Linked DNA regions of Mus musculus. Each later gene encodes a partner of the first gene's protein in a complex. Links are inferred from orthologs where the notes say so. Each region holds a gene or a part of one and is shown on either strand. Other genes may lie near its edges. The genes, in order: Eif3d and Eif3e.

The links.
Region 2: Eif3d (region 1) and Eif3e share a complex: the UniProt entries of both Homo sapiens proteins name them as parts of the eukaryotic translation initiation factor 3 (eIF-3) complex. The link is inferred for Mus musculus from reciprocal best matches to the Homo sapiens genes EIF3D and EIF3E.

What each region holds. Positions count from the first base shown.
Region 1 is NC_000081.6:77,964,273-77,968,094, forward strand, and holds part of Eif3d (eukaryotic translation initiation factor 3 subunit D), read right to left. Parts: intron 3,168-3,822; coding exon 3,031-3,167; intron 2,496-3,030; coding exon 2,410-2,495; intron 1,939-2,409; coding exon 1,866-1,938; intron 744-1,865; coding exon 631-743; intron 1-630. UniProt on the Homo sapiens protein: mRNA cap-binding component of the eukaryotic translation initiation factor 3 (eIF-3) complex, a complex required for several steps in the initiation of protein synthesis of a specialized repertoire of mRNAs.
Region 2 is NC_000081.6:43,262,077-43,265,898, reverse strand, and holds part of Eif3e (eukaryotic translation initiation factor 3 subunit E), read left to right. Parts: intron 1-273; coding exon 274-398; intron 399-2,563; coding exon 2,564-2,690; intron 2,691-3,198; coding exon 3,199-3,300; intron 3,301-3,822. UniProt on the Homo sapiens protein: Component of the eukaryotic translation initiation factor 3 (eIF-3) complex, which is required for several steps in the initiation of protein synthesis.

The DNA.
Region 1 (3,822 bases):
GTTAGGGAGGCAGATGCAAGAGGATGGCAAATTAAAAAACCTCAGCTACACAGGAGGGTCCATCTCAGAAAATAAACTTCACCCAGAAGTTCAGTATATATGAAAGAGACAGCATTAATCCCTCTGAAAATGAGACAAATCTTTAGTGTTAGTTTAGTTTCCTGTCTTCGCAGCTCCCAATGTTCCTCTGTAGAACACAGGGAAAGACCTTACACAGTGAACCTTCCCTGGGAAACTGAGCCCATTATAGAGGCACCCAGATAGATCGACTTCTGGGTTGAAGCTCTGGCTCTCCACTGACTTAGCTCTATGTCCTTGCCCTCTAGTGTACGATGCTACACAAAATGGAGTCTCCTGAACAACTGTCACGCCTCTCCTGCTGCAGGAGCTTAGTGACTGAACTACTGGGCTTTTTCTCGGATGCCAAAAGTGGAAAGAAACTGGGACTTTTTTAGTAAACAATGCATTTTTTAAAGTGGGTCTTGATCTTTCAAAAACATACCCACCAGTCCATAGCACTGTAAGTGGCTTCAAATCTGCTTTGGAGTTGCTAGGACTTAAGGAGACACTGATCCCTGGCAGGCAGACAGACTCTGAAACAGGGTGGGCACCAGGGAAGAAGCTACTCACATGTCTTGAGGCTCTGACACTTCCAAGTAGCGCATCTTCATCAGCTGAGGGAAGTCCATCTCCTCCTTCACCTCCCAGTCACTGCGAACTTCAACTGAGGAGTCTCGGGGTTTCTGCAGAGGAAACACAGGAAGATCTTCATATCCTACGCAAATAGCAAAAGACAGAGTGACATGGGAAGGGCTTTCATTCAATCATTATGGTCCCGGATGTTTTTTTTTTTTAAGTTCATTGTATTTATTTGATCTCTGGGTTCTCTGCTGCATGTACACCTGCAGGCCAGATGAGGGCGTCAGATCCCTTTATAGATGGGCATGAGCCACCACCTGGGTGTTGGGAATTGAACTCAGGACCTCTGGAAGAGCAGCCAGTGCTCTAAAAAGCTGAGTCATCTCATTAGTCTGGTCCTGGCTGTTTTTAAGCAGGGCCCGTGACTCCTGGCAGCTCAGAGAAGGAAGCAGGGCCTCAGCATGGGGCTTCTCAGGGTGTCAAGCACACGCCCGATACAGCAAGCAGCTAAGTCAACCTGCACCTTCACGACTTTATCACCCTACAACACTCGGCAGTGAAGCCGCGATTCTGTGCCCGAAAAGCAGCTGCTTTGCTGTTGGCAACACTCCTAGCCCAAACTCCACTTCTGGTCATGTCTGTTATGCTCACAGCTCCCACAAAGATGGCAGTGTTATACCTAACAGTGCCAAAGTGGAAAGATGAATGGCTGAAGGAAATGTGGCAACCCATACAAAAAAACCACTCTTGGGCAAAAAGACTCCATGTTTGTGAGCTTTATACCAGCAGGTCTATAACCAGTCACATGTAAACTGAAAATTCTTGGATGCTCAGCATACTGGAAATCCCACCTACTGGGTGGCTGACAGAGGAGGATCACCCGAGAGTTAAAATGATACTTTCAACCCAAATATATAATCCAGAGGCAAGCTAAAGTCCACGAGGGGACACACATGAGATACATGCAGAGAAGGTCAGTGCACACAAATCTTGATCTCTGAGGGTACCTGGAACCAATCCTTAACAGACATGAAGGAAAAGTGAAAAGACTGTGCTAACACGGGCTGCGATATGATCTTAAAAGTGGCACACTAACTAAAGGGCACAGAGTATGATCCTATTGTACATGAAATGCCCGCGGGCATCAGGGGAGTCCCGAGACATCTCTCAAGGTCAAAGAAAACAAACCCCTCCAAGTCCCCACAGAGTCCCTAGAGGGACACTACCTGTGACTTCTGGTCCCATTTTTGCCTCACTCCAAATTGCTTCTGGAATTTTTTCTGCAAGCGAATTCGTTCTCTGAAAAGACAGACAAAATGCTGTGATTTCAGTGTCGGCTTCTAGCTGAATCGCATCATCCTTCCTAGCTGCTACCAGGATAGAAAATAGGGGCTTAGATGTAGAACACACTGGGGATTCGAGCAGAGGCGCACTACTAGTATCAACCAGCATTCAGCCCAGTTACTCCCATGGCAGCCCTGGCTAGGGTGCAGTGGCTGCTGTGCCCAGCCCCAAGGGCCCACAGGATATAGCATAAGTGGTGCTGCCTGAAACCAGGCATCCAGAATGTAGAGGCCACAGAGCCACTTCAAATGTCCGCCTCACCCACCTCCTGTCTGTCTGCCATTGCCCAGTCTTGGGCAGCAATAGGTGAGGAGGTTTTGCTTTCTTTTTCAAGAGTGAAAGATAGCCAGTCCCTGCCCTGCTCTGTGATTTTGAGTACAGCCCATTTGGGAACATAACTCTGACTTGGCAGGAAGGGACGCTCACCTCTCTTTCTGCTTGGCACTCTTGGGCAGGGTCTGTAGGTTGAACTGCACCATGTTCCTCCGATCTTTGTCTCTGCGGAGGTTGCGCTGGGGAGCAGGAAGAGACCCATGTTAGCCCCTCGGAGACAAGGCTCATGGTATCTTGAGAGTAAGTTTACGGCGTGAGTTCTAAGTTTCACATCTCTTTACTTTTACTCTACAGCGACTACAGAATTTGGGCTAAGGGGAGTAGCACTTGTGTTAGCTTGGACTGTCATTCCCACTTTAATGTGGGTTTACTAGTTTTATTGGAGTTGCAAAGTTTGCAACATTATGTAGCAGGAGGCACCCTACCAAACCATGTAATTAACAAAGGTTGTACATGACAAGTCAGCAAGGCACTGGGTTCCCAGCACAGCTGTGTGATGTCTGAACTACTGTGAACAAAAATCTAAACTCCTTCAATGTATTCCTAGACCCGTTTCACATTATTCTGACACAACTGGTCACTAAACTGCCACTTGGGATTGGCCAAAGGTCTGTAAGCCTTTCCTTTCTCATCAGTATTCCCAAGATGGCGGCTGAGCAGCAGGAACTTCTGCTCTCAGTGAGAGCTGAGTGTGGGCTGCCAGCCGTGGCCTACCTGTGCGAATCTCATCCGGTTCCGCTGGTAGGCGGTCTTCTGTGTCCGTGCCGTGTCCACCAGCTGGAAGCTTGTCTCATCCTCCTCATGGAAATATGCATACTGACTTCCCCCACCGAACTGAGAGGAATACTTGTCTGCAGGCAAAGGTGACAGTGTGTGCTAAGTGCTACCTACACAGTGAGTGTCGTGCTCATGGTGCATGCCAGGCTTCGACCCCACTCGCCTAAGTGTGCTCCTGACCTGAAGCACTGGCCAGAAGCTTGTGAGATGGGTAGACTCACCGCCCCTGCCCAGACCTGACAGATGGGAACCTGTATTTAAACATGCTCTCAGGTGATTCATGATTCACACTCACATTTAAGGTTTAAGAGCTTGGGTCTAAACAACTTACCAAGAGCCCAAGGATGCCACTACCCCGCTGTACCTCTGCGTGGTCATGTAAGAATCTGAGCTGTACCACCACCCCAGCCATCACCCAGAGCTGCGGACACAGCCTTCCACCCCGACAGCCTCTTTTGGACCTCATCCACTTTAACTTGGTACTCTAGGCAGCCACTTCCAAACATCTAACTGGCACCAGGGAAAGCGGCCTCCCTTACCAGAACCTTAAAACTAAGGCTCAGAGCCGAGAGTCCATGGATTGATGGCTCCAGAAGTCCCAAGCAACAGAATGCAAAGTAGCTTTCAGGAATCTCTGGCCATCCTGGGACTAAAAATCATGGTTTGTGTACACTCTATTCCAGAATATACTTCCAATAACTACCATTACCATTTCCTTTCCTTTCTAAA
Region 2 (3,822 bases), about 35 Mb from region 1:
GCCCTGTCAGTGCCTCCTACTGCAGAAAGTTATTGCAGAAGACGGGTTTTACCCAGTTAGTGTCACCCTCCCACCCACTAATTAAGGACTGTTTGCTTCTGTCCTTGCTTTTAAAACATCTTTGGATGGGTTCAAGCCTTTATCATAAAATATGGTTAGTATCGCCTTAGAGTAGAGCCTTGTAGTTAGTTACACTTCTGAAATTGGTGTTTGTTTGCATGTCTGTTTTTCATATACTAATATTTCCTCTGTGTAATTTTCTTAATCCTCCAGTCTGTGAGTTCTCCACTCCAGTCTCTTCAGCAGCGAACATGGCTCATTCATTGGTCTCTATTTGTTTTTTTCAACCATCCAAAGGGCCGTGATAACATTATTGATCTCTTCCTTTACCAACCACAGTAAGTTACATCATTGTTTAATTTTACTTTTGATATATGATTTTTATGTGGTACGTGTGTGTGTGCGCGTGTGTGCGCGTGTGCGCGCACATGTGCTTGTGTTTGTTAATTGGAAAGCTTTATGTGTAGCTGTTACTGTAGGTCCTTCCGAATTGTTCTTAAGAATGGTCTCTGAACTAACAATATAGATATCATGTAGACTCAGGGCTTACCGTAGAGGATTAAGTCAGTTTGTATTGAATTCTCAGGGTTCTCCGTTATCTAGTACAAAGCCAGTCTTCATTTCTATGGGTTACACATTTGTGAGAGAAAAATTCCATCATTACTGAATATGTAAAGATATTTTATTCTTGTAATCATTCTATAAATAATACAGTAGTAACTGCAAACAAATCTATATATTACATATTACAAGTAATTAGAGATTAAGTTATACAGGAGTGTATGCAAACAATATCTTACTTTTTATAAAGGACTTTGATAGCCATAGATTTTGACATTTGGAACCAGTCATCTGTCAATACAGAGGGATGATTGTAAATTCAAGTGTAAGGAATAAAGGAATAAAGGCCTATGCTAAATTATTGGAAAGGAAAAAAGGAGAGGTGGGTGATTATATTATGGGAAAATCTTTTTTGTATTGACTTGCTGTCTTCAGCTTTTGGTTTGTCTTGGGTTGATAAGAAATGGGCACACTGCTCAGTGAATTTTGTGAATGACACCATTCTGTTGGCCAGAATTAATTTTATTTTTTATTTATTTTTTAAAAGTTCTCCCTATGTTACTGAAGTTTTTTTATGTACCTCAGTCTTACCTAAAATTTGATCATCTTTCTTCAAATCATGGATATATCACCACACTCAGCAAATCTTTAATTTCAAATCTTTCAGATATTAGGATATGTGTTTGTATATATGTGTGTGTATGTGTGTGTGTATCACATGTGTACATATTCATGTTACAACAAATAAAGAGATAGATTGTGACTATAAGGCACAATAGAAATGAATTGATTTAAAATGTGTAACATTGAATTTGTAGTATGGCTATGCTAGTAGGTATATCTTCATCACCAGACTACAACCACTAAATATTCTCAACTGGTTGGAGAACAACTAGAAGAAAGTTAAGAAATTTAAAACATTACATCACATCAGAGTTTGCTCACAAAGACTAATGGAAGTGATATTTCAACAGAGTTTCCCTTTAGTTGTTTTATTAACAAGGAGAAGTCATCCATCAGCCGGGATTCGGTTGTGTTTTTAGTTCAACAGAAAAGATACACAACCAGTGAACTTGTTGGATGCTAGGATGCTTTGATAGCTCAGGTCAGGGCTCTGGTGACTTGCTTAGGAGAAGGTAGATGTCTTCTAAGTTATGGCTGTCCTTAGGCTACTACTGTCGTCACATGCTGCATGATATTAAATTTCACTTGTGCAGTCTAATATTCAGTCTGAAATTTCAAAGTGAAACAGTGCTTTCATGTAAAATTTATGTTTCAGTAAAGTCATTTAGATGACAGCATGGTATGAATCAGAACTTGCAGCTTTGTACATTTTCCGTTCTGTCAAAAGTTAAAACAAGAAGCAGACGTTCCTAGCTGCAGGAATTTGTGACAGATACTTTTAAGTCACATTGCAGTTCTAGGATGTTGCAGTCCTCACTGCACGCACAAAGGAAAGTCCCATGCCTCTAAATTCATTCAACCCAGTTCCATTGAAAGTGATGCTGTAATGTCGTCACATGCAATCTAAAGACCATTTAACTGAATTGTGTAAGCAATAAAGTGCTCCCATATGCTTGTCAATTGATGACAATATTTAGTTAAAAGAATCTATGCAAGAAAACTGAGTTTAAGAAACTGATTATAAAGACCTTCCAACATCTATGGAGCAATGATAAGTGACTTCCTAGGCTCCTGACGTGAGTTTTCTAGCTCACTCCTAATTGGCAATAGTGATGGTACTGTTGTTGAGTTTCTTGTCATCGGATTCTGCTGATTTTACAGGTTGTTATTCTCTCGTACTACTTAAATGTAATTCTTAAATGCTTACACTCTTAGGCTAAACGATGTTAGATGTTTTCTTTAGTTCACACTGAACTATATACATGAAAAATTGTGGGAATTTAGTGAATATTAAGTAACTGTTGTATTTTTACCTTAGGTATCTTAATGCAATTCAGACAATGTGTCCACATATTCTACGCTATTTGACTACTGCCGTCATAACCAACAAAGATGTGCGGAAACGCCGGCAGGTGCTGAAAGATCTGGTGAAAGTGATTCAACAGGTAAAAATAAACTTAAAGCAGTCAGACAGTAGGTGTGATCTCTAAATGCTGGGGTAGGTCTTAGGGGAAAATAAGTAAGGTGAGAGGGAAGTCTACATGAAACTAGAGAGAAATTAGCAAGCCCTGAGCTTACTTTTGCAAAATCATAGGTGTCCTTATGACCAATATGGTATGAGTGATTAGTGCTTGGTGGAGCTGCTTGTTGATGGGTTGTGGAGTTGCTGCCTGTTCCAGATGGTGACCATTATCTTAATGTGGCAAAAGCCCCTGAAGTTTGGCTTATGGAGCTTCTCACTTGTAAATAAAACAAAACACCGAAAAAGCCCAAGAAATCAGATGTAATCTAAGAATGCATTTATAATTTGGACATGTGACAAACTTAATGTGTTATCTGAGGTAAGGGTTCGATTGGGTGCTTTGAGAAGATGATATTGGATTAGCTGTGAGTTGGCATTATGTTAAACAGTGCTTAACAAGATCTAACTGGACATTTGGATTACTTTTTTAGGAGTCTTACACATATAAAGACCCAATTACAGAATTTGTTGAATGCCTATATGTTAACTTTGATTTTGACGGGGCTCAGAAAAAGCTGAGAGAATGTGAATCAGTAAGTATGAATTTTTACTAAGCAATTTATATTCTTAAATTTCAAGATGTAGTAAAGTATTGAAGTAATTGAATAAGAAAAAATAAACTAAATGGTATATTATTGACAGAATGAAGACACCTAGTTGGTATTGTCTCCTTTAGGTTACAGAAATTAAAACATCAGCTATCTGAATTCATCTGATTCTCCTTAATTCTGTTTCTCTAATCTGGTTCATATGTACATGCATACCACAAATGTGGTCCCCTTATTTATAGATGGAATTACTTGTAGAAAAGATTAAATTTAACATTTCATATAAACTAAGCAATTTATTACAGTTATGTTTTTATACCTAAATTTTCCTATTTAGTTAAAAATAAAGTTCTTTCAGAGCAAGTCTGGAATTCGATATGTAAACCAAGCAGTCAGTGGATTTATGGAGATACATGCGCCTGCTCTGTCTCCCAAGGGCTGGTGTGAGAGGCCTGTACCATCACGCTCTGATGCTGGTTTTTGGTTTTGTTTAATTTTTAAAGAAGT